Linked DNA regions of Lonchura striata. The protein of the gene in region 1 interacts with the protein of each later gene in a pairwise test. Links are inferred from orthologs where the notes say so. Each region holds a gene or a part of one and is shown in the gene's direction. Other genes may lie near its edges.

Region 1 (15,511 bases):
GTTAGTTTAAACACTGATGAGAACATTTTCCATTGCATTATTATTTATGTTCTCACAGTAACAGATATGATACTGCTCTTTTTTGTGGGGGGGGGGGGGGGGGAGGGGGCTTTTTCCTTTTTGCTATTTCATAGAAGTGTGATTTGAGAGGGTGAAAAAAAACTAATTAGAAACCATTGGTCCCTTATAAGAAAAAAAATATGCACATTACTAGGTGCTGTTGACTCTGACAGCAGTACATGCTGTCTGCGTGCTTTATGCTTCAACTGAGAGATGCTTGCTGACCTAGGATCTTGTCAGGACTTACGTTTACAGAGTATTTAAAGATAATGACTGTATGTGACCCTTGAACTAAATGTTCTGGTTTTAAAATGTGAAAGAAAAACAAGGAAAAGCAATGTGTTACCATAAATGAATTTGAAAGAACTGGGAAACTATTTACTTATCCAGCCAACATTCATGTGCCTGATTAATCTTCAGGAGTCTGACGGGCTAAACACAAGTTTCTACGTTTGCAGGACTAGAGCTGGGCTGTCAAGTGCACAGGTAACATATGGCATTGCTGCAGGGGTACAAACCACCTGCCTGCATGGAAAATCACATGATGGAAAGAAAAAGGGTGGGGCAGATTCTTGGCTGCAAGGCAAATTCTGCACAAGTTCAGTCACATATGGCAGGCAGTTTATAGCCCAAAAGCTACCCACAGCCTGGTGAGATAGTTCACCTTGCTTGTACCTTGCTCAAGTGACCTTTATCCTAGGAAAATACAGAGAGAGCTTTGCCAACTGGAAGAATTATCTTGCTCACAGCAGCAGTCAGACCCTGCTGTCAGCCTCCTAGGGGCTGTGCTCCCTCACCCATGCTGTAAGGGCAGCACACCTCTGAAAAGACACTCCAAGAGCTACAAAGCTACAAAAGGCAATATGTGGCTTGCAATCTCTCCTATAATGATTCAACTCTGCTTTCCTCACACTCCTCACTGCCCCCTACTAAAGCAAGTCGCCAGCTCACCACACCGACAGCCCTGCCTCCAGCAGCAATGCTGGAGGGAACGCCTCAGTGCACATGCTGCAGAATTCCAGCTTTCTGGCAAGCCCTTCATTTGCAGCAGAAGGTCCAGTCATATGACAGGAAAGGGTTCCCAGTATTTGGCTTTCTCCAGACAGCAGAAGAACTTCTAAGCAGCCGCCGCAGGAAGAAAAATTGGAAACATCTGATCTTGCGACACTGAAGCATCTGAGCGGTGTGGAGGAGCACAGAGCTCCAGGGCGAGAGGGTTCCTGCTGAGCTGGACTGGGGGTGCACAGACCTGCTGCCCGGGCAGCAATGCAGCACTGCATTTTCCTTGTATGACTGCACTTGTTCGTGTACTTGTGCTCCTGATGTTGTCTAGGCAGCCTACTGGGAGGAGTCATTGCCCAGCAGGAAACAAACAGATTGTGGTATCTGTGCCCATCTGGGTGCTGCCTAGAGTTTCCTTAATGCTTTCTGTATCATCCTCTGGGGTTTTTTGCCGTTTCTCTAAAAATACAAAATGACATCCTATTGCACCACCACATCCTGCTCTGCCTTTGCCCTGGGCAGCACTGCCTCTGCTCAGGGGGAAGCTGGCAGCAGAGCTGTTCGGGGTTTCTGTGGTCTGCAGCAGCCTCAGTTATGTACCCAGACCCCTCTGTGCTATGCTGTGCATGGAGAACAAAAAGAGTCCAAACTGAAAACAGCAAGACCAAAAAGGATATAATCATGCTGGCAAACTTTCATGGACTTCTAATAGGCCTTAAGGTATGTTCTGCTATATATAAATGTTAAGACATCATAATTCAGCTTTTTAGCCTAACCAGCCGTGGAAAGATGAACAAAAGTGAATCAAAGGGAGTGATCAGAATTAAGACCACGCTAATTTCTCAGTTGTGTTGTTCAGAAAGAAACACAAAAGTGCAGGGCCTGATTGGTTCATGTGATCTCATGATAAAGAAATTAGACTAAGAGTTGGCTTTAGACACAGTGACATTAAATGCATTTGCTTGTAATATTTGTATTGATGTTGCAAAGACTAAAAGAGCAGGTTCCCTCTGATACTAAATTGACAGTCTTTTCTGTGGATCCAGCCTGCATTTGAATGTGATTTTCTGACTTTTGGTAACCTTTATGCCTAACAGGTTATTTATTGGCACTTCATAATCCTATGTCAGGCATTAGAGGTCTCATATTAATGTACAGAATCATACCAGATATGCATTTCTTTGATGAAGTACCTGTATTATTCTTTCTGTCGCTTCTTGTATTTCATACAAAGATTTTTCACCATTCCTCAGACAGCCCTGAATTCCATTGGACCATCACCTAGAGCAGGTTAGGGAACAACACACATCACAAAAAACACAGCTAGAAGGAGGAAAGAGCCTGTGTATTAACGTTTGTACCACAAAAATATAAAAATTTTAGCTTAAAATATTCCACTAATTCTCCAACAAACTACCCACTCTCTCATTGTTTCTGTTTCTTGCAAAGCAAATGCAAACTGTTAAATCAGGCGCCTTCCATCACATAGTCCCCAAAACAAAAAGCCATGGCCACACTAAACACTGAGCCCACACAGCATAGGGCAGAGGCGGGCGTGGAGGAAGTGCTGGTGCTTCCATCAGTGACTCCAGCCTCTGAAACCATATTTTTATTCTGGATCTGGGTGGAGGTTGCTGCTGTGCTTATTTACAGGAGGGGACTTAATTGTCTTTAAATTACATGAAATTAAAGATGGCAGTTATACTCTTCACCTTCAATGAGGTTTTAATTAGATCCATCCCACCAGCCAGCCCATCTGTGCATATCCATTTCGGCATATTACTAACGTGTTTAATGGAAATAAACAAAGCCATGTGTTTTATGTTAAAACAAAGAACACGACATCTTGGTCACATAGCAATTAATAATTTCAGTGGAATTTTATTTCAGCCCAGTATTATGTTATGGGTCATGCACAAAATCACATGATACTCATTTCTTATGTGTCCAAGACATGTCCAGTACATCAGACGCCCTAGTATTAATTTAACCAGTAATTTATTCAGATACTATTTAAAAAAATGTTTTGGGATGCTTCTGGTAGTGAAAGTACTAAGAGTCTTTTTCACATCTTTCACTTGTATTCATCTGAAGCAATTTATTGCTACTATCATATAACATACCCCCTATATTTATATATATATATAAAAGTTGCACAACTTACAGTAAATTATTACATGTCTAAAAGTCATCTGTATCTCAAAGATTTGTTACTGAGCACAAAAAAGAATATGAGACATTTTGTTAAAAGTCTAAATATACTCAGCTGACTTAGCAAACATGTGACTAACACACCACTGCTCAGAAATTTCTTGTAAAGTATAAGGTAGGAAGCCAAAAAGGAAGCATAATGCAATAAGTTCTTTAAAGTTATAATGGAACATACAAGAAAGAGAGCACAATGCAGTATGACTTACTCTTTAACTAGTCTAACCAGAAAAAAATAATTACAGTCAGCTCTCCATTTATACTGAGTGGATTATCAAATTTGGAAATAAATTAGGCTAAGGATGCACAACAGCTGCCTTGTCTCCAAACAGGCCAATTAAAGCTGGCAGGGCTTTTTAACTGAGGCACAGCACCATCCAGGCTTGTCACTCTGCTTCCAGCCCTGAGCTGGTGCTGGGCAGTTAGGGGAAGAGCACTTGGGCAGAGCTGGGAGCGTGGCACTGACACCTTCAGTCCTGCAGACCACACAGTCCCAGTCACACCACGGTCCTTCCTGTCCTGTCACATGGCCAGACCTGACTGGCTGGTTACCAAGGGATGTTCCTGGCCATCCTCAAACAGGAACAAGACTGTCCTGTGTAAAACCCCAGTTTCAGGTTTGAAGACGCACCAGTTTCTGTGGAACTACAGTAATAATGGAAGATTTTATGTCATTTTGCCAAGAGATTTGTTTAGAAGACAAATCTTGAAATTCCAGTTGAATTCAAACTTTCTTCTTTCTTTTGAAATTGATTATTCTCCCAATTATGAGATTTTTTTGGCTTTTGCTGGAAGGAAGTATCATCTTTTCTTAGAAGCAGGACAATTAGTTTACATAATAAATTACTTCATACTCAATGCTGAATTATTTATTGATTTTACTTGATACTATGATCTCTTGCTAGTTTTATAAGCAGTATGGATCAGAATAATTGTAGCCATTCTGAGTTTTTTCCCCTAAAGTTTTCACATTCTAGGAGCTATTTTTCTTAACACAATCGAGTCATCTGTAGGTTATGGAATACACACATACAAATGAATTGGGCTGCTCCCTGGAAGTGATCTCCAGCTCAGTTCACACTTCCGTGGCAGGTCTTTTGAGCAGTCAGGATTGTGAGTACTGTATCTCCTGTTTCCCTGTTCTCTTCCCAGATGTTCAGTGCTCCTAGAATGGCTGTAAGAGTGCTTTCCATTAGCATGGCTCTTTGTAGTAGGTGAGTATATTGCATTCAGTACCTGGATATAGAACACGGAAACTCAGAAAACCCATAAACTGTGTTTTCTTGGAGCAAAGAATGAGACAACTCTACCCAAAGGACTGGCCATGAACAAGGTATCTAACTTCTTTTTCTAATACTGCTAATGTTGTATAAATCTGTTGTTGAAATGTTTGGTAGTTTTACTGTGGGTTATTTTAATTGTTTTAGAAACATTATTTGGAGTTACCAAAACTGAAGAATAATTCTTGAGACCAAATAAAGTCAAGTGATTGGGAAATTAATTTCAATTACTAATAGGCAAATTCAAAACCACCTGGACTGAATTGGTAAAGCTCAATAAAAACATTTTGTTCACTATAAATAAGCAATCTGCCAAGTTTATAGCTGTGTAGGAAATGATGCAACAAAGAATGACAACTAGTAAAAAGCATCACCTTTCAGTAAGTTAATGAAGTGCTTTTTGTTTTATTTAAATAAAACTAGTAGAACCTGTTGTGGAAATAACTATCCTGAACTTTATAATGACAACAGGCTTCCACTCTTGAACCTCAGACTAAACAAAGACATCAAAAGGAAGAAGACAAAACCTTCCAGGTTATTGCACTGATATGAAATAAAACCACAAACAAACCACCTTGATGCTTTCCTGGTGAAGGAAATACTTTAACTTAATGGGTAAGAGCTGTTGCTGAACTATTTCAAGACAAGAGGGGGAAAGAAAGGCAAGAGTTGTCACTAAAACTAAGTATTTGGTAAATACTAAAAAATGCCCTGAAGCTACTTTAACAGATACAGAAAATCTGATGAAGCATGGTTTTCTTGTTCTACATTAATTTCAAGTAATGCTTTCAAAGTCTCTGATGAAAGAAAAATAAGACTTAATACAGACTGACAAAATTGGCTCAGATGTGATCATGGATTCTTAAGCCTAATGCCTAATTGGTGCCCTATTTCATATTCCGTAGGAAAAAAAAAATCTCTGACCTCTTTTCACCATTCTAAAATTCTTTGGAAACATTATTATGATAAATCTGTATCTATTTTTATTTTCTCCTTATGTAAATACATACTGTCATCCATGGTATTTTTGGTATTAGCTAGAGATCTTTATTATGGTTCAGTGTCTTTCAGGCAGGAAAAGGAACTGAATGTGAGACCTCTGTTCTTACTCAAAGGCCTGGAACAGAGAGTCCAGCTTCAGGACTGGTGGGGCAGTCCCACTGTTATGGCTTGGCACATTGGGTTAAAGGTCCCATCACAAGCTTCAGAAGCAATACCAATCAATGTCAGACACACAGAAATACCTTAGCCAAAATTACAGGGTTCAGTGGTTTTTCTCATTCATAATTAAAGCAAACAATCATCCAGCCAATCTGCAAAAAGTCTTTTAATCAGAAAAAATACCCCTCAATCTTTATTAGCAATCACCTTGTCATATGAAATGTTTGCTATTACTTAAGAATGCCAGAAGTGGAAAAATCCACTGGGACTTAGATGCAAGAAGCTGGCTGATATTAATGTTTGGAGCTCTCTTGCAACACGAGCTGCATTTTTTAGAATTATTTTTCTTCTTTTAAAAGAAGGCAGCAATACGAGTTATCTGAAAATTGTGACATATATTCAAAGATGGTAGCATCTTACAGCCAGTATGGTTGTTTGCATATTCTGTTTCATTGGCAGGATTCTTCCTAAAATCTTCAGAAGTAGGTTTTGGGGTTTGTTGTTTTGTTTGGGTTATTTGTTTGGGGGTCTTTTTGTTGGTTTCTTCTGGGTTTTTTATTGTGTGTTTTTTTGTTTGCGGGTTTTTTTTGTGGTTTGTTTTTTTTTGTGTGTGTGTGTTTTTTGTTTGTTTTTTTTTTTTTTTCCTTAAATGAGATTCTGGATTTGAGTATCTCCATTTTATCTAAAGGCACACTGGAGCAACAAAAGCTACTGCTCACAAGAATGGAGCAACTTCCCTACAAGATCTATAACCAAGGACTTTTGGAGAAGCTAAGGCATCTAAAAGCAATGGACACCCTTCAAAAGCATGTACATAATCAAATACAGATCAAGCTGTGCTTATTTTGCAAGTATTAATTTTGTTCAACTAAGCATCCAAATTAACGTCCAAATGCTGGAGTTATCCAACACAATTAAGACAGCATCAAGACTTATAAAAACATAGCTCAGCACATCTTCATGTGACTAACAACTCAAAATGCGTCCCTTCTAACCCCCCAAGTGTTACGGGGTTATGGTGTTAGGAGCCATGGCTGTGCGGGGATTTGCCTGTCTGGAGCACAAGGTCTGTTTCACTTGCAGAGTTGTCCACGGACAAGAACAAACGAGGGAATTGATAAGCAAGCGGCTGTGCTGATGCCAGAAGTGTCCCCGCCGCGCACCTGAGGAGAGCGCAGCAAAGGGCTCGCCTGCATCTGGAGGTCCCCAAGCCCCAGGAGCCAGGCTGGAGGGGCTGATCTTCCCCCGGTGCTCGTCACACCCACGCACCCTCACAGCCTCTCCCGGCTGAGGGGGCATCCAGGGCGGCTGTGCATCCCTCCTCCCGCCACCCTGCCCCGGGGGAGCGCGGCTGGGCAGGCGGGCACGGGAGACGGGCACGGGCCGCCCTCCGCCCCGCCGAGCGAATGGCGGCAGGAAGCCTTCCCCCGGCCCTCCCGTGACTCGCTTCCTCCGCCGGACGGGAACTGGGCGGAGTGAGCGGCCCCGGCCCCGCCAGCGGAGCCGTCCCGCCGTGCCCGGTGCCTGCGGAGCGCCGCGGCCGCCCCCGCGGGGACGGACGGGCGGACGGACGGACGGGCGGGCGGAGGGAGGGACGCTGCCGAGCCCCGCCGCCGGGGCGTGCCAGCGCCGCGCTCCCCGCTCCTGCCCGGGCTCCGCCGCGCCGCAGCACCAACATGCCCGCCGTCGACAAGCTCCTCCTGGAAGAGGCTCTGCAGGACAGCCCGCAGGTAGCGCCCGCTGCCGGGACAGCCCGTCCGTCGGTCGGTGTGAGGCACCTGAGCGCTCGGTGCCGGCGGGCAGCCCGCGGGTCCGGCCGGGCCGGGGAGCAGCGGGGAGAGGGGTGCCCGGGCGGGCGGGGGACAGCGCTCGGGGCGGGCTGGGCTGTCCGAGCCAGCGGGGATGCGCTGAGCGGCCGTGCGGCCGGGGGAGGTCTGGTGTTCGTGGCGAACAGCAGGCAGTCTGCTCCTCTTGTCCCCCGGGCGAGGGACTCCCCCAGCGCGGGCAGGGAGACTGCTGCGGCTGTTCGCTCGCACCGTGCCGTGTGGGAGCGCGCTCGGTGGCCGTAAGGCTTGCCCTGAACTGCTGAGGGTGTCGGGGAAGGACAGGCGGGCAGGGCTCGGTGCGCTGGCTTCCCCCGGAGGGAAAGGGACACCTGTGCGCGGTGAGTCACCTGGCCGCGCTGACAAAATGGGCTGGAGGAGTGTCACCGCCAGCGTGCCTGCTCCTCAAGGGCCGCAGTTCCCATGTAGGAGCTCCCATGAGGATAGGTGAGGCGGATCCCACCGAAGATGACCTTCTGAAGGGCTGTGAGAACGAGGAGAGGCGGTGGCTGCCCTTCCCTTCCCGAGTGCAGGGAGGATGCTCCTCCTTCGGCCCCGGCGCAGCGCCCCGTGCCCCGCCGCCGGGAGCCGCCGTGTGCCCGGCTGCCCTGCGGACCCGGCACTGGGGGAGGCCCACAGAGAAGAACGTGTGTCTTGATATGTTCAGGGGCTGGCTGAGTGGAAAAGAGAAGTTAGAGGAAGGGGAAATAATGGAAATTCCACTGAGGGATGCGGAAGGTGCGCTTGGGAACAAAGCGTTGTGCAGAGCGAGATACAGAAGTAGCTGGTGAACAGGGGAAAAGCAAACGAGGGCAGGGCGGATCAGTATGGGTACAGCTCCCAGGTAACCCTGTGTTGTAATCCCAACGTGTCTGCTGGTGGATCAGGAGCAGGAATGAATAGGTAAGCTGTAGGGCAGATTGCTGCAAGGTGTTACAGAGCCTGTCATGAGACGTCTTGAAGGAAAGATTGGAAGTGCACCTGTCAGGACTTAATGAACCTCGGGTCTTAAGATCTTACTTGCCTCATTTTAGCCTGGTTTTTTGTAATTTCATGAAATCCCATTCTAGTAAGAAGGATTTCCATCATCTGTTTGATGTGGCGTATTTGTAATCATCCTTGGGAATTTTAAACACTGTGTTGGAAGAAGTGTTGAGTAATGTGAAGTTACACCAAAGTCAACCCTGCTTGGAGCAGAGGGTTGGACTAGGTGACCTGCGGAGTTCCTTACCAGACTGAGCTTTTCTGCGTTCCACAGTTTACCAGAATGTACCAGATTAATTATGGCTAGCTAGTAACATTTTTATTGTTAACCTACCCACTGTGTCCTAAAGCTGAAGAAATTTACATGCAGGAGAAATGAGCTAATTTACCTCTTCAGTCAACACTTCCCTCAGTGATTAAAAATGTAACACCGTCTGAAAGCATTTGAGCAATGCACTGAACTGAATTTGGAGGTAATCATCTTACCTGTGTCCTGAAATGAAGGCTGTCAATGTCTCCTTTGCCATCACTAGAATACCAGGCAATGCATAAACCTGCGTATTGGCAAGATGTTTTACCCTGATTTTTTTGCTTTTTCTTCAAGTTCTATGGCTTTCAGAGTGAGTGACGTTTCATTTTTATAATGGCCCAGTGTTGCTAAAATATACTCTTTTTATGCAAGGAAGCAGGAGTGGGTTTTTCAGTCTTTTATATTTTTATTACTTTTGTCATTGGGGAGAGCTTTAGATTCACAAAATCAAAGCAAAAAGTTAGTCTCTGTTCCACAGAAATAAGCAGTATAGCATCTTATAGGACCAGTTACTTCTGCAAGAAGGATCCTGATTCTCTCCTGCTCTGTGCAGTCTCAGGAGTGCAAAGGGATGGTGAAATGAGGATATAACCTCACTTTCTATAATCTGTGGGAAGTATGTGATTTACATGCAAGACCGAGGAGAATTAGGCCAAAGTTATTTCTTCATCAGGTTTCTAGAACTTCATTTATCTCTCCCCGTCAGTACAGTACTTTTGTCTTGATTTGTCTCTAGACACTGGCTGAAGAGGCCATAAGAAGTGTCTTAATTTTGATGTGTTTAGCTACAAAATAGAGAAAAATTTATGCCAGCAGTCATGCTAAAATCAAGGGAAGTACTTACATGAAACTAGAAAATTTTTTCCTATCCTTTCAGAAGCTGAGATAATGTTGTGAATAATGGGGCCTCTTAAATGTTAGCTTAATATTTGGATCACTGGTTTATTTCAACAGAATTAACTGCTATTCCAAAATTTGTCAAAACAGCAACAAAGAAAATACATATATGCTGGTATTTTGTTACAGTGATTTCATATTCTTAAATGTAAAAGTTTCCAACAATAACTTCCAAACTGTCTGAATAATTTATTGTTTTTATTATTTTTGAACAATGTGCTAATAACAGAGGCCAAGACTTTCAGAAGTTGGTTTCTGGAGCTGTTCTACCTCAAACCATATTTAGACAAACCAAAAATCTGAGTCTGCAAAAATTCACTAAAATTTATAAATGCAGTTGACATTCCTGTATTTGGGAACCTTTTCCAGCAGGCAGAACTATGTGATTTGTAGCCCAATTTAGGCAATTTCTTTATAATCATTGAGTTTTGGCTTGACATTTGGCTTGATAAGCATTGTGTCAAGTTTTATAGTTTTTGCTTTCCCCAGATTTATTTTTTAACCATTTTTGTACACTGTACTTTTCATGTGCCATTGTAGCACAAAACAGGTGCCATTGTAACACAAGTTGAGTACTGTATAGATACAAAATAGTTTATTGACATTATTTTACTTTACATCATTGAAGATAAAACATTTGAAACTAGATTTTTTAAAATCAATATGTTTGCAGTTACTGAAATAATATGTTAATGTGGAAAACTCTCAAAATCACTGTCCTTACAGGGAAGTTCTGTACAAAGGTGCTTTAAACATTTGGGTTCCTGGTATCAATTTCATTGACTCGGACTTCTCTCCAGTCTCTGGTTTTTATGCTCATTTTATTTGAAAGCAATAGTTTGTAATGCATATTCCTTTAAATGCTAGGATCTCAAACTAGCTTCCCAAACTGCCAGCATCTCCCAGGTGGGAGGTGTTGTAGCAGCTCAGTACATCAGCCAAGTGAGCTGTTGAGAGCTTTTAAAGCTACTCAGAGGAGGAAGGTTCTGAAGGGAACCCAAAGACTGACTCCCAGGTCATGTATTTTAACCACTGAGCAGCACTAGTTTCTGGCTTGCATACTTCTCAGCAGAGGTGAAATGATAGTTCATCATAGTCTAGGATTATTGAAAGATGCTGGTGTTGAGTTTTCCAGGACAAAAAAAGTCTGGGCAAAGAGTTTTGCAGAGAAGAAAAAATGCCTTGGAAAATGCGTGTGCCTTCCGTTAAAATAGTGGAGTACCTTAAACCTTTGAAAATAAATTTCTCAAATTTGAACCTGGATACTTCAGGTACATTAGAGATTCCTGTAAGAGGGGGACTTAAAAATAAAGGACTTGCTCTTTTACAGGACTGACATGTCTGTGAAAGTACTGGAGTTTATGTATGCCCCTCATGTAAGCAGATGAAGCTCATTAATGTCATATGCGTTAGCTGTACAGATGGAGAGACATTTCCAGATAGCCTCAAATAGATTGGATTTATCTAAGCTAAGTATGGATCATGAGTTTGTTAATGGGACAATCTTTCCTTTTTAATTATTGTAAAGATCTAGCAAATTCTGGAGCCCAGCATTATTCTGAAATATCTTTTCTTTCCCATCTTGGGAACTGTGTCAGCAACATAATTCTTTATTCTTGATGGTTCCACCTGAACAAACCAAGGGAATTTGTGTCTTTTAAGAGAACACAAGTTCTTCCTTCCCCTTCCTGCTTGCTGCCAAAGATGAGTTAGCAGAGTGAAGAAAGTACAGGGTATCTCTGAGTGGGCGTATCCTTGTGTGCCTCTTGGAGATGAACACTTGTTTGGTCCAGTGACATCAGCTTGCTTTGGCTGTGGCCCCTTAAGAGTTGCTCAAGACAGTGGGGAGTGAATAACAGAGTGTAAATTATCTCAGTGGAAAGGGGTGCTTTCAGTGCAGTCTGACACTGGAGAAGTAAAGTGAGCAAGCAGTGGTGTTTGACCCCCCAGTCCTTAACATGGTTTGAATTACTGTCGTCAGCAGGAAGATACTCAGGATTTTTTACATTACTAATTATGTTGGAAGGACTGTCTGTTAGTAGGAGCAAGAGCCTGGGAGTTGGGATGTGGCTGTAGCATTTTAATAGTTTGCTTCCTTGTGCCTCAGTTTACCTATCCATAATAAAAGAATCTGAATAAACAGAATTGTGCAAGTCAAGGATATATTATTTCTGATTGTTTTTTTACTTTTTACTTTTTTGAATCTTTTTAAGATTTCCACTCAAAACTAAGCACTGTTTGCTTTTTTTCTTTTGTTAAAGACTCGTTCTTTGCTCAGTGTCTTTGAAGAAGATGCAGGAACCCTTACAGAATACACAAACCAGTTGCTTCAGGCAATGCAACGAGTCTATGGTGCCCAGGTAATTTTTCATTTGTATTTCTTTTGTTCAATGTGGAGTAGAAGATAAATTGCTATTGTGATGCTGTTATTTACAGTAGAGTTGCTAAGTATATGTACCTTCTGTGGTTTAAGAGGAGTTGTGGGTGTTTTTCATCTGATAGCTCAACCTCTTCCTGCCTTGATGCTCAGAAAAGTAGTATTCATTAAAAAAAAAAAAAGTTATTTACTTTGTCTCCAAATAATTAACCAAAGTAAAACTGTATTGTGTCCTTACCTTGTGATACATTGGGTGGCCAGCCTTGACAAAATTCCTTGCCAAAATGTAGATACAATTCCTAGGTCTGCACACTGAGTTTGGGCACCTAACTTTGATGCTGTGATTCACCTCATGGAGGGAACTGCCCATGTCCATTGATTACAGAGCAGATAGATGTTCATGGGTTATCCTAAAGTCGAGTGCCTACAGTAGATGTGAAAAAAAAGAGTTGGAGCAGAAAAAATAACATTTTCTAGAGTGTTTACATGACCTAGATGACTAAATCCCTTTGAAAGTAAAACCTGTAACATAAATTATATCCAGTGCTTTGGAAAGCGTAAATCTCAGTGGTTTTCAGTGAAGCTGATTCCCATGTGCATAAAATTAGGTGTTTCAAAATGCCATATCTGGGTCTTTAAAGACCTACACAGTGTCTCATGGAAGTTTTGCAAGTACTTATGTAGGTTAAATTCCTGAGTTCACTAGAAACAACTTTTCTATTCTTAAACCACTAAATCAGAGTACACAGAGAGATTAAGAACTCAGGGGTATTTTGAATTTCCCTGAAGAGTGCGTGATCCTACTTATTAGAGGTCAGCTCAGCTGTAAGATTTGCTATAAGCAAGTGTATGTCCATTTGTTGGGATTGCTCTTTCGGTGACTGATAGTTTGAGATGGAAGAACCATTTGCTGAGGATCTGGCTGCCTCCACCTGGAAGATCCAGAGAGCTTCAGAGTCTTCATGTCCTGGAAGTCATGCAAATGTAGAGCAGCCAGAGGCTTGCAGCACATAGGAAATAATGCAGGGCATGGCCAAGGGCTCGAGAGGTGACATGAAAACAGCGCTGAAAGTCAGGGGTTGGCATTTTGGTAGAGTCACTGTGCTTTGAGAGTAACAAAGAGTGTGTGGTAGGAATCTGACAGCAAAGACTTGGTAGGACTGAAATGGATGAAGAAGGGAATCAGGAGATAAATCAGATTGAAATCTGAAATCTGATGTCCAGCTTGAGGACTGCACGTCCCTTTCTGCTGTCCCGTTTTAGGAAGTGGTTGCTCTATGTGATTCAAGGAAAAAAATGCTTTTTCTGCTTTTCTTTACCTCTTCCTTTTCATCTTGGTTTTTCGCCTTCTCCATTTCTGTTTCACCACAATAACATTTCCTTTTTCTTCTCATTTTCTCAGTACATTTACCCATCAATATTTTGCAGTACTACTCAGTATACTTCATTTTTCCAGCACTTTTTCACCACTTCTTTCCTGCACACTGCTTTAGTTTGATGTAAATATGCAGTTGCTTGTGAATATTGGATATATTCTTTGAAATAGGTCTTTCGAGTTTGATGTAGTTTTGAGATGTAGAAATAGAAGGGTAATACTGAATTGCCTACTAAACATAAAGTTAGTTATGGACAGTTAAGAAAAATGTGTGTGATATTTCTTGGCTGCCTAATCTCAATTTGGGAGAAAAAGCACTTTTGTTGATCTGTAATCTGGGCCTCAATAGTAGCATATTAGGAGGTGTTACCAACCCTGTAAAAGCTGAGAGTATTGAGAAGCCACTTTCTGAATTTGCCTTTTTATTTTCCTGACTTAAGTTTTGTCTCTGCAAAGTCAAATTTTCTCTTTATAAAGTCATTGTCATCTCCTGCTCTGATTTCTGTGTCTGTAAGATAGGAATTACAGTTACTGACCTACTTTAAAGCAATGGCCATAAAATGACTGGGATCACTGTCAAGGCAGTCAGAAAAAGCATCAGTGGGTTGTACCAGTACTGATAATTGATCCTGATAAACTGATAATAAACCAGTTCTGATTGATCAGTACTGTACCAGTACTGAAAATTTAGGGTTTATGCTCCCTCAATACACAGTAGTTTGAAAAAATGTTAATTTTGTTTTCTTCCATAGTTTTTTCTGAACTTGACATTTCCCAGATGTCTTAACCATGTTTTCAAGGTTATTTTGGGCTAGCTTACTAGAAGTTTGGTGATGAAAACTCTGATTTTTATGTAATTCAAACCACTGTAGCTTGTGGTAGAATAACAGTAGTTGAAGGGATTCAGTGCAAAGTCTCAGGGGAGTAGCAATTAGTACCAACTGCATGCTGTTAATTAACTGTGTGGATAAATGCATATAGCTGTCTATAGCTGTGTCAAAACACTGCTCTGTGTGGAGAGCCACACTAAATTTGTAAAGTGACAGCTCAAACTGCTTTAAGCACTTGGATCTGTGCACTTGAAAGGAGTGTGAAAAAGAAAACCTTGCCCATATTTTTTAAAAAAACATTTAGGAAAATAGGAATATTTTAAAACATCTTTTCAGACTTAGATGTATTCGAGCAGGGCTTCAAAAAGGGTGTAAGGAGGGATGTGCAGCATGCTGTGCAGCCGTGGCTCTGCTGCCTGGGCTGCAGCTGGGTGGTGCATGGGTAGCAGATTGCCTTGGCTGCAAGGCCCTCAGTGCTTTACAAGCCTCTGGTTGCCCGGCAGGATGAGGAGAGTGCTCTCACCTCCCTGGCACCCACACCACATGGGATGAGGTGGTGACTCTTCTGCACATGGAGCTCTTTAGTGCAAGAGGGGCTGTGATGCTACAAGGCAGATGCAGTGTGTGATGCCCTGATTAAGGAGAAGTCACAGGGTCCAAAAGTGGCACTAGAGGAGTGAGGTTGCCCTAATGCCCTGATTAAAGAGAAGTCACAGAACCCAAAAGTAGCACTGGAGGAGTGAGGTTTGGTTGATCTGGCAAACCAGTGTGATTAAATGCAGTGAAGCACAGTGAAGCATTTTTTATATTCATCAAATAAACCGCACCTGTGTGAGTACATATTATACTTCCTGCTGTAGATCTCCCAGCTGTGCTGTAGTACCCTGAAATAGTTACCACAGTAGTGGTCTTATACAGGAAATCTTCCTTACAGAGTTTATTCCCCTTGTGCTTCCTTCTTGCATGCAAGCCCTGATGTTGCATCTGGCATTACTGCTGATTTCTGTGAATGTTGTGTTTGTCAGTCTGGATGTTTATTACCTGAGCAATATTATAATGCAGCAGCAAGCAAGGATGTTAGAAAATTTAATTTGCTTAATTTACAATGTTGAGGTTCTTGCAATGTTGTGTGAGTAAAGTGTGCCCAGTTTACCTTCCTGATCACTGTCAAAATAAATTGTTTTCAGAGCTTTACTACCATTTC
Region 2 (15,300 bases), on another chromosome or scaffold:
CTGGGCTCCTTTCTTTTGTGAGAGGGGGCAGAGCACATCCACCTGATCCTGGCTGTGTGGTGCAAGGCTCCTGCACTGGGCACCCGCCACCACAGACCGTTTTGGGGCTGGGAATATCCTGGTGTGCCCACGCTGGGTTCCACCACAGTCCATGCCAGCTGCACACCCACTTCCTTGGCACCCTGCTAGCATGAGCCCCTCTGTCCCACTGGCACCGTGGGGCAGGGCTGGGGGGCAGAACGGCTGTTCTGTGGTCGGGCAGGGCTCGGGGCTGGCGAGGACTTTCCTGTGGCTGGTGCCACCTCCCGCTGCCAGGGCTGGGTGATGCTGGGGAGGCTCTGTGCTGCTGAGAGGCCGAGGATGCTGCAGCTCATCCCTGGCTCGTGGCACCTGGGCGTTGGCCCTTGACTTCCTGTGGGCTCATGGTTTTTCCTCCCTCCCTCTCAGCTGGTGTCCCAGCACCCCACACCTCTGGGGATCGCAGCACCACAGCTGGGCACCTCTGGGCTGGATATGCCCAGCTGGGAGCTGCTGCTCCCACTAAGCTCCCTGAGCCCCGGCGGAGCGGGAGTGGCAGATGGTGAGGGGGAGGCGTGAGCTGCCTCGCGTGGGTGATGGGGGCTGGAGATGGATCCGGCCTCCTTCCCCTTCCTGGGGCTGGGGTCCTGCCTGGGCTGGGGCAGTAGAGCAGGACAGGGGATGAGCAAGCTCTAGGAGCAGCTCGGGGCTGCCAGCAGCCACGTGGAGATCTGGCTTCACTTCTCAGAGGGACACATGGAGGGCTGGGAAGGCTGGGCTGCTGTTTGTGCCCCTTGAGCTGGTCCCAAGGCCTGGAGGGCAGCTGTGTTCTCCTTTCAGACAGCAACTTCATCCTGGCAAACGCACAGGGTCGCTGTGGCTTCCCCATCGTCTACTGCTCTGATGGCTTCTGCGACCTCACGGGCTTTGCCCGCACCGAGGTCATGCAGAAGAACTGCAGCTGCCGCTTCCTCTGCGGGGCCGAGACCAGCGAGCCCATCCTGCAGAGCATCGAGAAGGCGCTGGACAGCAGGCAGGAGTACCAGGCTGAGGTCTGCTTCTACAAGAAGGGCGGTGAGTGCCACATGGGGCTGGGTCCCTGGCCACAGCTCCAGCTGGGATTTGGCCCCGTCACGGTCTCAATGGCCTGGGGGAAGCTGCTGAGCAGTCAGGGAGCTGCCCTGCCTTCACCAACTCTCTCCACCCAGGAGCTGCCTTCTGGTGCCTGCTGGACATCATGCCCATCAAAAATGAAAAGGGGGAGGTGGTGCTCTTCCTCTTCTCCTTCAAGGACATCACAGAGAGCCGAGGCAGGAGCTGCCCTGGTGACAAGAAGGAGGGTGAGCTCTAGAATGGGGATGGGATTCGGGGAGCAGTGTGTGCAGTGGGCACGTGGCAAAGGGGCTCCCTGTTCCCTGGCGGGGAACATGAACACCCGTGGCACGGCACTCTCACTAACTCAGCGTGCCTTGTCCACTGCAGAAAAGCAGAGGAATGAGAAGCAGAGGAGCAAGAAGCCTGGGAACTCCCACCTGAGGGCTGCACGGAGGCAGGGCCGGACCATGCTGCACCAGCTCAGCAGCCAGTTTGTCCGGAGGGACCGTGGCGAGATGAAAATCAACCGTGTAAGGAGCTGGGGGACCCTCAGTTTTGCCCAGTGCCTCCCGTGCTGGGGCTGTGGTGAACTGGCAGTGCAGCAGCTCTCCTGAGAGCAGCCCCCAGCAGAGCCCAGCCTCACTGGGATGCTGTTCCCATGCACGTCTCTCCCCTGCCAAGTACTGAAATGCCCCCCAGCTCTGGCAGCCACGCTGTAGCCAGGCTGCACTTGTGTTGGGTTGGCAGCAGGAGAACCCAGTGTGTGCCCAGAGCTTGTTGTTGAGACAGCAGCTCTGGCAGAGCTGTGCCTCTCCTCATACATTCACTGTCAGGAAACCCCAGTGCTGGCTCTGAGCACAGCCACACTGGCTCTGGGGAGTGCTGTTACCAGGGTGCCAGAGCTGTGGAGCTGCCAGATGGGGCAGGAACCAGAGTCAGTCCTGTGCCAGCCCCTTTGCATGGCTGCTGTGCCCAGTACAGGGCACCACCTGCAGCTGTGGGGCCAGAGAGAGGGTCTGAGAGCTGCTGGGTCCCAAAGCTCATAAGCAGGTAAAAGATATCAGTGCACCAGTCTTAAATTTTGGGAATCTGGGGGTGATGGCCTTGGCTCTGCCCTCACCTCTCCCCTCCTCTGCCCTAGCATGTGAATTGGTACCTGAGATGGTTCCAGGCAGCAGTTGGCATTGCCAGGGGATTACGGTTAATAGCAATGACATTGCACTAATTGATGTGCTGTAATCAGGAGTTCTGTGCCCATCTCTGAGGGTGACCGCGGTGCAGGAAAAGGGTGCCATCACCCTGGCATCGGGGGATGCCAGCTGGTTGGCAGGACTCAGGAGAAGGGGTGGCTGTGGTGGCCTTCACCCCTCGTGTGGGATGGCCCCTGCACCGCCCCCGTCCCAGCGCACGTTTGCTCCTGCAGAACGTGTTTGAGAACAAGCCGTCCATCCCCGAGTACAAGGTGGCCTCGGTGCAGAAGTCCCGCTTCATCCTGCTCCACTACAGCATCTTCAAGGCACTCTGGGACTGGCTGATCCTGCTGGCCACCTTCTACGTGGCTATCACCGTGCCCTACAACGTCTGCTTCACAGGCACAGAGGACAGTCTCTCAGCTGCCCGCAGCACCATTGTCAGCGACATCGCCGTGGAGATGCTCTTCATCCTGGGTAGGTTTGTGTGCGGGGCTGGACACTGATCCGGGGTACAGGACACGGTGGGCAGTGATCAGGGGTGATGGAGAGGGGGGTTGGGATTGCTGTGCCCCTGCTGTTGGTCCTGAGCACACCAGAAGTGAGACCAGTGTTGGCTGTGGATGCTGGCTCAGCTCTGCCAGCACAGAAGGGGTGGTGAGGGCTGGTCCTGCTCTCCTGGGGTAGATATCATCCTGAACTTCCGGACAACATACGTGAGCCAGTCGGGCCAGGTTGTGTACGACCCTCGCTCCATCTGCATCCATTACGTGGCCACCTGGTTCTTTGTGGATCTGATCGCTGCTCTGCCCTTTGATCTGCTCTACATCTTCAACGTGACCGTGGTGAGTGCTGCCAGCACAAACCAAGCCCTCAACAGCAAAGCCTGCCCCTCTCCAACACCCACATCTCCTGGGGATACTTGGTGCCCTGACAAGCCACAGCCCTGGCTGCCTGCCGGGTGTTGGGCACAGGGGTGCAAGGCTGATTGGGGATAAGCTGCCTCGGGTTTGCCCTGTGACCTGTGACCCTCCTGGCAGCTTTGGGGGTGACAAAAGGCTCCTGCACCAGAGGTGGCGTTGGGGTCCCTTCTTATCCCTGCCTGCAGCTACACCAGGTTCCTTTTCCCCTGCCCCCAGACCTCGCTGGTTCACCTGCTGAAGACGGTGCGGCTGCTGCGGCTGCTGCGGCTGCTGCAGAAGCTGGACCGGTACTCTCAGTACAGCGCCATGGTGCTGACGCTGCTCATGTCCATGTTTGCCCTGCTGGCTCACTGGATGGCCTGCATCTGGTACGTCATCGGCCGCAAGGAGCTGGAGAGCAACGACCCCCGCACCTGGGACATCGGTGAGCACGGGGCAGCGGCGTGCTCAGAGCACCGGCATCCCCCCGGGCTGCGGGGCAGCCGTGCCAGGGGTGCAGCCCTCACAGCTGCCTCCTGCCAGTGCTAACCCCGGGCTGTGCTTGGCAGGCTGGCTGCACGAGCTGGGCAAGAGGCTGGAGGCTCCCTACATCAACAATTCAGTGGGGGGCCCCTCCATCCGCAGCGCCTACATCGCCTCCCTCTACTTCACCCTCAGCAGCCTGACCAGCGTGGGCTTTGGCAACGTCTGCGCCAACACCGACACTGAGAAGATCTTCTCCATCTGCACCATGCTCATCGGGGGTGAGGCGAGCAGTGGGGCTGGGCAGGGAGCGCACTGGGGCTGGCAGAGCGTTGTGTCCCTGGCAGGGCGCCGGGGAGGCGATGGGCATGTGGGACAGCCCTGGGGCTGGGTTTGGGGAGCGGCCCCAGGGCTGGGTTTGGGGACAACCCCGGGTCTGGGTTTGGGGAGCGGCCCCGGGACTGGGTTTGGGGAGCGGCCCCAGGGCTGGGTTTGGGGAGCGGCCCCAGGGCTGGGTTTGGGGAGCGGCCCCAGGGCTGGGTTTGGGGATCAGCCCCGGGGCTGGGTTTGGGGACAGCCCCGGGGCTGGGTTTGGGGAGCAGCGCCAGGGCTGGGTTTGGGGAGCGGCCCCGGGACTGGGTTTGGGGAGCGGCCCCAGGGCTGGGTTTGGGGAGCGGCCCCAGGGCTGGGTTTGGGGATCAGCCCCGGGGCTGGGTTTGGGGAGCGGTCCCAGGGCTGGGTTTGGGGACAGCCCCGGGGCTGGGTTTGGGGAGCGGTCCCAGGGCTGGGTTTGGGGAGCAGCGCCGGGGCTGGGTTTGGGGAGCGGCCCCAGGGCTGGGTTTGGGGAGCGGCCCCAGGGCTGGGTTTGGGGACAGCCCCGGGTCTGGGTTTGGGGAGCGGCCCTGGGCTGTGCCCCGGCTGTGCCCTGACGCTGCCCCCTGCCCCAGCGCTGATGCACGCCGTTGTCTTCGGCAACGTCACGGCCATCATCCAGCGCATGTACTCCCGCCGCTCGCTCTACCACACCCGCATGAAGGACCTCAAGGACTTCATCCGCGTCCATCACCTGCCCCAGCAGCTCAAGCAGAGGATGCTGGAGTACTTCCAGACCACCTGGTCGGTCAACAACGGCATTGATGCTAATGAGGTAGGAGGTGTTGGTGGGGCTCGGCCAGCCCCCTCCAGCCCCGACTGGCACCTATGGGGGAGCAATGGGGCTGGCAGGGCCAGCTCGGAGTGGTGCTGGAGGGAGCCGGTGTGGGGTAAATTCCTGCGGGACATATGGAGCAGAGGAGCTGATTACCACAGGGCCCGCCCCTGCCAGTCGGGACTGCTGAGCGCTGCTGAGACACCAGGGCAGCTCAGCAGATTCCCCATTCCAGAGGGGGACCTGTCCCCCGGGGCTGCTGGGATGCTGCTCCCTGCTCCTTGCCCCTCGTGCCCAGAGCCCCGGCTCCTCTGTCCCCAGCTGCTTCACGACTTCCCCGACGAGCTGCGTGCGGACGTGGCCATGCACCTCAACAAGGACATCCTGCAGCTGCCCATCTTTGAGACGGCCAGCCGGGGCTGCCTCCGCTCCCTCTCGCTCCACATCAAGACCTCGTTCTGTGCCCCGGGGGAGTATCTGCTGCGCCAGGGCGACGCTCTACAGGCCAACTACTTCGTCTGCTCCGGCTCCCTCGAGGTGCTGAAGGACAACGTGGTCCTGGCCATCCTGGGTGAGGGCAGGTGGCGTGGGCTCTGCCCCAGCCCTTCCTGCTGCCTGGCAGAGTGAGGGGCTCAGGGCTCGTGTCACTAGCCCAGCCCCGGTGCCCTCCTGCAGGCAAAGGGGATTTGATTGGAGCCGACCTGTGCAGAACGGACCAGGTGATCAAAACCAACGCGGACGTGAAGGCCCTGACCTACTGCGACCTCCAGCACATCGGGCTGCGGGGGCTCTGTGAGGTGCTGCAGCTCTACCCTGAGTACGCCAGCAAGTTCACAGCTGACATCCACCAGGACCTGACCTTCAACTTGCGGGAGGGCAGCGAGATGGAGGTGGGTGCGTGTCCTCCTGCTCAGGCCCCTTCCTGTCCTCACGGCCCTGGGGCTGGGGCTGTGCACGGCCATGGAGGGGGAGTCTGTGCACCCCCTGCTCGCAGTCCCCAGGCTCCAAGGCTGGGAAAGGGGCTGCAGCTCTGCCACCCTGGCACACAGGTATGTCCTGTCCTGGCTCTGTGCAGCCCAGGGAATTGGCAGAGAGAACCTTTGCAATGCAGGAGGCTGAGGTAGATGGAAGCCTGGAAATGGGATTGGAGAGAACTGGGGGGGGGTACTGCAGGACAGACAGCCAGGGCAAAGCCCCCTGGAGTGCAGCACACAGCTGTGGGCTGTGGGTTTAATCATGCTGATGGCTCCAGCATCCGGGGGTATGTTCCGCTGCAGAAATGGCTCTGCTGCACTTTTCCTCCCCTGGGTCTGCTGAGAGGCTCGGATTTCCTCTGGACCATCTCCCTTGTACCCATTTTCCCCCTGAGCATGATGGAGGTGGTGTGGGAGGTCGGTCTCTAGGTCCCAAGCAGCCCTACCAAGACCCACCATGTCCATAACACAGGAGGGGTGTAAACAAACCAAGAGAGGAGAATGCCAGGAGTGTGCACAAGGTTCTGCACCTGCGTCACCCTCCCGTGCTGGCTGCATGCTCCACACAGAGCTGGTGCTCTGATGGCTGAGCCGTGGCTGGGATTTGGGGTGCAGCCTCGGCTCTGCCTCAGGGCACTCAGGCAGCTCACCACTGACATGGCAGCAGCAGAGGGAGGAGAGTGAGTGAGGGGTTGTGGATGCTGGTGCTGAGGCTGATGCGTGGGGCTGGGGAAAGCTTGGTTGCCCGGGGGGCACTGAGAGGCTGGGGGGCTGCGGGCCGGTGACTGGTCCCCGTGGAGCTGTGCAGGGGCTCCCTCCTGCTGCTGAGCCGGCACCGTCTGCTCTCCCCGCAGGGGCTCTGCCGCTACTCCCGGTCCCCGAGGCTGCCGCAGGCGCCACAGGTTCGTCCCTTGCCGAGGCGATGGGGGTGGACGGGGCTGTGGCTGGGACCAGCCCTGACCTCCCGCCCGCCTGCAGCCTCGTCCGGAGAGCGGTGCTGCCCCGGAGAAACCCCTTCCCTCCATTGTGGAGGATGAGGAGGAGCCCGACGAGGTTTTCCAGCAGTCCCCCGCCAGCACCTCCCGCCGCAAGCCGCTGCTGCCCGCGCTGAGCTCCTCGGTGCGCCGCGGCTCCCTGAGCAGCCTCCTGGGCGATGAGCTGCGCCAGGGCTCAGCCCTGCGCCACGGCTGCCCCTCCCCGGCCCGCGGCGGCCGCAGCCCCGCTCCGCAGTGCCCGAGGGACGGCCGGCTCCCGGAGCGGGATGGAGGCGCGGGCGGGAGGCCGCCCAAGCTCCTCATCCCCTCCCTGCTCTCGTCCGGCCCGCCCGACCTCAGCCCCAGGTACGCCGGGATGTGCGGGCGGCTCATCCCGCTGCCGCGGGTTTGTGCCACCAGGCTGTGCCCTGGGTGTCCCACGGACATCCTGGGGGATGCTGAGATGGTGGCACGGAGGTGAGGGGTGACGCGGGCTAACCCTGACCCCGTCCCGCTTAGAGTCGTGGATGGGATTGAAGACAACGGAGGGGCTTCAGAGCCACAAACCTTCTGCTTCAGCACGGAGCCGCCGCAGAGCGCGCCGAGGGACTCCCCCAGCTCAGGTACCGCCAGCAGATGCCGGGCAAGGTCCCAGCGCCGGCCCCGGGGCTCGGCGGGACATCCCAGCGCTGTCCGTGTCCTCCCCAGCAGGGACTGACGCCGGCGGCCCAGCCCTGCTGATGGAGGCGGAGCGGATAAAGCAGAACATCAGCAGGCTCAACCAGGAGGTGCGCTGGGGACCAGAGGTGGGTGTATGTCCCCGCAAAGCCCGGCGACATCGGCCGGTGCTCACTGCTGCCTGTCCTTTTCCAGATCAGCCACCTCAACCGGGAGGTTTCTCACCTCAGCCGGGAGCTGCAGAACATGATGGAGCTGCTCAGGGGCCACCTGGGCGCCCCGCAGCCCCCGGCCTGTCCCTGCCGTCTGCCCGCCACCGTCTCGCCGCCATCCGCTGCCCCGGTGCCCCCCTCGCCCCCGGTGCCCCCCAGCTCGCTCAGCTCCCCCACCGGCAGCCCCCGGGCCAAACGCTGCCCGGTCCGCAGCCGCTCTGCCCACGCCGCCGCCCTGCACCCCTGGCTGGGCGCCGAGGGGCCGCGCCCGCCGCGGGGGGACACCCCCGACCCCCGCCGGGGCTCGGACTCGGAGCCGCCGCCGCTGCCGCCCCGCTCCGCCCGTTCCTTCCCCGGCTGCTCGGCCGGGGCCGGGGGTCGCGCCCGCCCGCAGCCGCGGTCCGGCTCCACCAGCTCCCGCTGACCCCGCGGGCACCGGGGGCGCCTCCCCGGGGCTCTCCGCTCCCGGTCACCCCGCCCGGGGCTCCCCGCTCCGGGTGACCCCGCCCGGGGCTCCGGGCTCCCGGTGACCCCGCTCGGGGCTCCCCGTTCCGGGTGACCCTCCCCGGGGCTCCGGGCTCCCGGTGACCCCGCTCGGGGCTCCCCGCTCCGGGTGATCCCGCCCGGGGCTCCCCGCTCCCGGTGACCCCGCCCGGGGGGGCCGTGCCCCCGGGGCTCCCGGGACGCCGCACCGGGAACACGCGCAGGGATTTTGATACGGTTTTATACTCGTCGCCCACGGCGCCTTTTCTATAGCCCGGCCGGGCTCGGCAGCCCCGCCTGTGCCCAGGGCCGTGGGGCGTGGCGGGGCAGCGCAGCCCCGGGGGACCCGCGGGGGTCTGGCGGGGGAGGATCCGTAGAGCTCTCCGGTGGGGGCTCCGGCTTGCCCGGGGGTCGCGGCCGCTGCCGCCCCTCCGCGGCTGTAGTTCGTGTCGTTCCGCCCCGCCTCTCCCACGCTCCCCGCAACACCGAGAAATAAAGGCTCTATTTTTGCAGCCCCGGCTCCGCTGAGTCTCCGTCCGCCGCCGCCCCGCCCTGTCCGGGCCCCGCCCCGGCTCCCCCATGGGCCCGGTGGCACCGGGACGCATCTGAACTACAACTCCCAGCAGTCCCCGCGGGAGCGCATGACATCACGCACGGCTCAAGGGGCGGGGTGGAGGCGGGGCGGAGCAGGTGATTGGCAGCTGTGACAGCCTATGGCCGGCGGGCGCGGGGCGGAAGGGGTGGTCGGGGCCGGAAGCGGAACGGGTAAAGACGGAAGTGAGGCCCGGGGCCTGCAGACGCACCGGCGGGAGCGGCGCTACGGGCGGTGAGTGCGGCCGCGGCCGCTCCTTGCGCCCCGAATGGCCGAGCCCGCCGGGAGGGTGCGGACCCGTTCCCTCGGCTCTCGCCCGGCCGAGGGCGGCAGCCGGGCCCCGCCGTTTGGGCGGCCCCGTGGCGGGATGCGGCCGGGGCTCGGTGGCGCCGCTGTGCCGGGCGGGGCGATGCCGGGGCTGCACCGCACGGGTGGGGCGGGGGCTTTGGGCGGCCGGGTGCCGTCGCCTCTCGCCGTGCGCCGGCCTAGCGGGGCGCTGCGTGTGGTGCGAGGCGGGGCGGCGGCTGCTCCGGCCTGGCGGCACCGGTGTGTGCCGGGCGGTAACGGGAGCGGAGCCGCGCCGGGCGGGGGCGGCCGCACGGCCCAGGGGACGGTGCCTGGCTCGGGGCAGGCGTCCCGGCGGCGCTGTGGGTGCTCGGGTCAGGCTCCTCCCGGGAGCGGCTCCCGGGACAGCGGAACGAACGCCTGCGGCCGGTACCGCGGGATTGTGCGGCGGCTGTGCCCAGCTCCCGTCTCGCAGCCGCGGCTGACTGCGAGCTGAGTGGCACTGGGGGAGGTGTGGCGCCAGGACTGAAAGGGATTTCACGGTGGGATCGGATTTTGTGCTTGGGCTGCCTCTGAGGTGGGAGTGGAAGCTCCAGGGGTTCCCGGGAGGTGACTGAGACTGGCCGGGGTCGCTGCCGGTGCCAAGCACAGCCCTTGGGAAGGGAAACCCGTGGTGCTGTAGGGCCCTGAGCAAGGCCCACGGGCTGCAGGGACATTCTGTGACTTGTCTGTAAGGGAATCTCGAGCAAGGCCACCCTTGGATCTCTGGCACAGCAGGACAGACCCTGCAGTGTGAGCTGGGGGTGACATCCTGGTGGGATTGCACCAGGAGTGCAGGTGTGAGCGTGAGCAACAGGTTTGCCCTGCTAAATCCTGGGGAGAACTGCTGGCACCTTATTCCTGGTGATGCTCCTGGGGCTGGGCAGGAGCTGGGGGTGCTGCTGGGACCTGCAGGGAGCCCAGCCCAGCTGCCCTGCAGTTGCTGCCCTGGGATGTGGCTGCTGCAGCTCTGACCTTGGCTGTTCCCAGTCCTGTAGGGAAGCTGGAAAGGAGAATATGTCGAGGGACTATTTTAAGTCTGCTGTGGAACAACTTGCATCTGCTATTCTTAGCTTTTTGTGTGGAGGGTCAGCACACTTGAGCTGCCCTGTTTACAGCCTGATGTTGGGCCTGTGCTCTGCTGGGCCTCCCGAGCCACCTCTGAGCCTTGGATGGGGCCAAAAAATCCAGCTCAGTCTGTTGTCTTGACATGCCATGCAGTCTGAGGGAACTTCCTGGAAATACCCACTGCTGCCTTGACTCTGAAAGTCTTTTACGTTTCTTTTCAGCTCACCTGGATAATAAGGTGCAAGATCTATATGTGAAAAGAGTTAAGAATTCTGGATAGTACCTGTAGGCAGCTACAGGACAATGTTGAGGCATTCTTGGGGTGAGGCAAGCAGAGCCTGGCTGGATTTGGGAGGTCAAGGACAGGAATGTTTGGGGTCATACCTGGGTCTCAGTGTTGAAATCACCTCAGACCCCTCATAAGTTACAACAGTTTGCTGGAACAGTCAATACCTTGAGACCAAAAATCTGCTTCTGGGGTGGCCTTTTCTCCCAAGATGCTCTGGCTGATTTAGCTGACATTTGACTGCAGGTTGTGCAGGCAGCACTTAAGTGGGTGCTGATGCCTCTTGAGGTGATGGATCAACCCAGGCAAAGTGAGATGGACTCCTGGAGAGGGTTGAGTTTCTGGAGAGTAGGAGGGAAAGGCTGGCTTGGCATGTGGATATGACTAGAGCAAGCTCAAACACTTACCTGCTTTTGCATTGGTAGAGTACACTTTGCTTTCCTGTGAAACCAGGGATGTGTTGGTGTGGTTTTGGTTTGCCAGTTTGAGATGGCACCAATTTTTACATTTCCCAGCCAACTGGACAGTGTGTAAAGGAGCTGTCTGGTGATGTGTGTGTGCTTGGCCAAACATAATTGTTGTGCTGAGAGGTGGGATTATCTCCACCATAGCCAAGCTCTTCTGCGTCTCAACAGGGATCAGCTCGAGGGGTGCTCTAGGCCTTGCCACTCATCAGCTCTGTCCAAACTTCTTCAGCTGCTGCACAGTTTCGGATGGTGGTCATGGCATCTCCCTGAAGAGGGAGGGGGAAGGAATGCCAAGGGCTTTCAGACACAGGAAATAAAATGGGAACGCTTCTAATGAAGTGGGTGTAGCCCAGAGTATTCCTGTCAGCAGACTTAAAAGAGGATAGAATGTAGAAATGTTGGAGTCAGCTGTTTTCTTCCCTTGGGGTATGAAGTTTGCAGCCTCTTATGCAAGTCCCGAGAAGTTGTCAGAATAGCATTGAAAACGCTTAGACACTGGCCAGAAACAGGAAACCTTCCTGGATGTGACAGTATTGGGGAGGAATAAAATTCATCTGAGGTCTGGGGGAAATGCTGTCCTCCCCTGGAGCACAGGAATGAGCTGCTGGAGCAGCTCTGCATAAACAGATAAGAAAACACTGTTTTTCATGTTTGCTTTGGTTTGGTAGCACTCCAAATAAGGAGCTGCTCGAGGCAGGAGATCTTTGTGCAGTCTGGGAAAGATATTCTGAAGGTCACAGATTCTTTGCAGTGCAGGTGGCAGTTTCCTGCTTTGCATTGCTGATGTTGCCTTCTTGCTGACTGAACAGTGGGTGCTCTCCAAGGCATGTGTTGAGTGTCTGGTCAAGGGAAGCTGTGTCTGTTGAGGGCATCTGAACAGGAGTTAAACAACCTTTGCTGAAGAATTAAAACCTTGATGCTTTTGTTCCATTTGAGGCAGTCCAGGCTGCATCTGTGAGTTGATCCTCCAGCCTTGCTGTGCCAAGGATAACTGAAAGTAGGTGAAGGCTCCAAGAGGGAGCCACTGTGGGACTGGGAGCTAGTGGGCAGCTAATGGGAGATGAAGGTGATGTAAAACTCTTCCACAGAAGTCTGTGCTGTTGTCACAGCAGGATGGTGGCCTTGAAGTCTCTGGGGATAGAGTTGTTTTGGAAAAGCTGCTTTGGAAAACAGCTGGCTGCTGGGGCTGCTCCAGAGGCCATGGATGTGCAAATGTCAGGAAACAGATGTGAGTATCAACAGCATGAGAAGCAGATGGTACTAGTTCAGGTCTGCAGCTGAATGAGTAGATCAATTTTGGAATGGAAATCCTATTTACCTCTAAATTAAGGTGAGCATGTCAAAGTCTTTGTGAGTCTTGGGTAAGGGACTGCACAGAGAAGTTGTTACACTATGATAAGTTAGTCACAGCCAGAGGAGTGCTGCTGAAACTGCTGTGTGAGCTGATTTGGGTCTGTGAATCTGCACTTTAGGGCTGTAGTGCAGCTCCTGCCAGCTGAAGTGGAGAGTGGCCCAGTTCAGAGCAGTCCCTGAACTCCAGACTGTCCTTTGTGACCAGGACACCGAGGGCTCATTCTCTGGGGAGGGACAAGGTAGGAAGGTGGAGTATTGAAACTCGTGAGACTTGGTGGGACTGAGGTCTGTAGGTTGGGTGTTTCCTGGTTCTTCTCCTCTGTAATAGTTGGGTCTGTTCCTCCTTTCTCTGCAGCCTGGGCCCTCCTGCAGGCAGGCTCAGGAAGTTCGTTCTGATTAATCATATTGATGAGTTGGAATATCAGGTTGACATTCCACGCTGTGCTAGCCTGGGCTAGTGTGGTCTGCATGTGGCTCTGGTGGGACCTGCACTTTCTGCTGGTCCTGCTTGTGGAAGTCAGGAAGTTGCTCCTGACTCCATGTCCTGAAGCTGACTCTTCCCCCTTGGGCCAGCTGCCCATGCAGTGTGAGGTGAAGCAAAACCACTGGGTAACTTCAAGGCTTCCTCTGCCAAGGAATTCATGTAACACTGTCAGCTATTTAACGAGATAAATGCTTCACTGGGGCTTTTGTCTTGAGTATTTTGGTTCTAAGCCAACAAATCCCCAGTGAAGCAACTCCTTGCATAGCTAAGAGCAGCAGCAGTCGTTTGGGTAACCAGAGTCTTCAGGATTAGGTTTCTGAATATCCTCAGCTTTCAGAGTAGTTTTTGCTGCTAGCTGAACACAGGGCAAAAATATCAGATTCTCTAACTTCTGACACCTTAAATGAGCAGCTTCCCTGTGGTGGGGTGTCCTGCAGAGGTTAACATGGGGATCTGACAGTACTTTCCATGTGATGGTTTGTGTTCTTGTCCTGGGTAGGTTTGTTTGAAATGGGCTCTGGTGCTCTTCCCCAGCATCCTGAGGGTTATGGAGAATGGTCTTGCACTTGGGCAGGCAGTGCAGCAGCCATGGCATGTGCTTTCTCATTTAGAGCACTCAGATTCTTGAATTTAATATTCCTGGCTGTGTACAGCCTCCTCCAGCAAACCCTGACAGGCAGGGGAGGGGTTGGAGGAGCAGAAGTGATAGACCTGGAGCTCTCACCTGTGGAACAGCATCAGGAGTTGGTACTTGACTTTGATCTCAATGCAAACAAGAAACTATCTTAAGAGTTCACAATAAAGAAATCGGTGCTTTTGCTGTGGGATGCAGAGCTCCTGTGTGTGCTTCAGTGAGCAGGAGGTGGGTAGGGCAGGTAAACAAACCAGCACGAGCCTTTTCATGGGTCTTGTGATCTTCCAGCTGCTGGGTTCCACTAGTTAAAAGAAACTAGTAGGAAAATTAATGCCTGTTAATCTCGATTACATGAGTACCCCACCGTGTCCTTCTTTTTTATGGCCTTGACAAGTTGAATTAGCATGGCAGGCTGGGACTTCAGCTGCTTTCCCTCGTCTGTGTGGTACTGCTGTGGTTATTTTGGTCTGCCTGACCTGTGGCTCGAGTGTCAGTGCTGGGATTCTCGTGGGGAGCAGGGAGGAGCCCAATCCTCTGCTGGAAGAGGTGGGAGGATGAAGAGCTCCCCAAGCACCAGAAATGGCTTCATACAGCAGGAAGCAGTCCCTGTTTCTCAAGTCCACTGGTGGGTGTAGGCTGATCTAGCACAGGTTCAGGCTGTGTAGTTCAGCTGCCTCTGCAGAGCTGAGTTCTGTCTGACTGGAATCCTCAAACATCTTGGCGTTGGCAGAAGGTTACTGTCCTGCCATGGAGTGTGCTTGCTGTCTGCAGCACTGGTGAGCACTTCCTTTGGTTATTTGCTTCCTCCTGTGACCATCAGCTGGTCAGGAGGAAGGACTTTGGCCAAGTCTTCAGCCCAAGGCCATCAGTGACTAGTTAGAGTCTCGAAATTCCACTCAAACACTTGAAACATATGGCAACTTCTCATGTGAACATGAAGCCATATCATCTTGTATCCAAGCATCAGAGCACCCTGAGATGATGATCTAGCTCTCCACAACTGGAGCAGTCAAGGCTCTTGCTGCTGCTCTGCCTGCACTGACCAGTGGCTGTCCACGGTGAGCTCAACATCGATGTGCTCACCTAATTCTGGTGGAGTTCATGGAGCACAACCAGATGGCAAAATGCATCAAGATCTGTGAAATATAGGTCAGGCTAAGACTTGAGGATGTCAACAAGCTCATTTCCTTGTTTTGCTCTGGGAATGACCTCTATCAGATTTCGGGAGGCTGTAACTCAGCCACACTGATTCGCACAGTGTTTGTGCACAGTGTTGGTCTGGAGCAGCAGTGCAGCTGATAGACTGCCAGGGAGTTATAAATACAAGGTTAAATCAAAGCTGTTCCTTTGCAAGCTCTGTTTAGAGGGGAAACTCTAAAAGGTGGAAGCCCTTTCAGGCTGGTAGAGATGCAGAGCTGCTGCTGAGCCTCTGGAACCTGGTATCACCAGGCTGCTCCCTCACTGTCCAGCAAAGCCAGTTGTTGATCTTTTCATATCAAGCTTTCTCATCCTGTCAAACAGTGTTTGTCCTTCCTCAGTAGAGGGAGGGGAGTCCTGACTGTGCTACTTGCAAGGCCCCAGCTCTGGATTGCAGTATCTTCAGTACTTAACCCAAAACTGGGACTCAGAGCAATGACCTCAGAGCTCTGGCTCCTGAAACATCCCGCAGCACTCAGAAGTTTTACTCGTTGATTTCTGTCCTACCTGCCAGCTCTGGTGACTGGTGCCATCTTAACAGCTGGCATCTGACTGCCTCCTGGTCAGAGCAATTTGAGGTGAGATGTCTCTAGGTCAGTGTATGCTCAAGTGATTTGCGTTGTGTAAGCTGCTGGGCTCTCCAGCTGCTGGCACTCACAGGCTCCAGAGTAGCTCTGAAATGGCTGGAGGTTCCCTGTCAAGCTGTGGGACTTTAAACTTGAGGCATTGTTAAAGTAAC

The links.
Region 2: the proteins of APPL2 (region 1) and RAB5C interact in binary tests that used the Homo sapiens proteins (3 or more experiments, as listed by UniProt). The two-hybrid records come from large-scale screens. The link is inferred for Lonchura striata from reciprocal best matches to the Homo sapiens genes APPL2 and RAB5C.

What each region holds. Positions count from the first base shown.
Region 1 is NC_134607.1:20,386,503-20,402,013, reverse strand, and holds the start of APPL2 (DCC-interacting protein 13-beta), read left to right. Parts: upstream 1-7,263; 5' UTR 7,264-7,387; coding exon 7,388-7,441; intron 7,442-11,986; coding exon 11,987-12,085; intron 12,086-15,511. UniProt on the Homo sapiens protein: Multifunctional adapter protein that binds to various membrane receptors, nuclear factors and signaling proteins to regulate many processes, such as cell proliferation, immune response, endosomal trafficking and cell metabolism.
Region 2 is NC_134627.1:6,404,518-6,419,817, forward strand, and holds the start of RAB5C (ras-related protein Rab-5C), read left to right. Parts: upstream 1-8,891; 5' UTR 8,892-8,982; intron 8,983-15,300. Other genes in the region: voltage-gated delayed rectifier potassium channel KCNH4, read left to right, coding at 859-1,092, 1,227-1,358, 1,501-1,643, 2,537-2,780, 2,991-3,148, 3,443-3,650, 3,775-3,969, 4,636-4,835 and 1 more; voltage-gated delayed rectifier potassium channel KCNH4-like, read left to right, coding at 6,206-6,226, 6,664-6,711, 6,788-7,260, 7,303-7,406, 7,495-7,571, 7,657-8,097. UniProt on the Homo sapiens protein: The small GTPases Rab are key regulators of intracellular membrane trafficking, from the formation of transport vesicles to their fusion with membranes.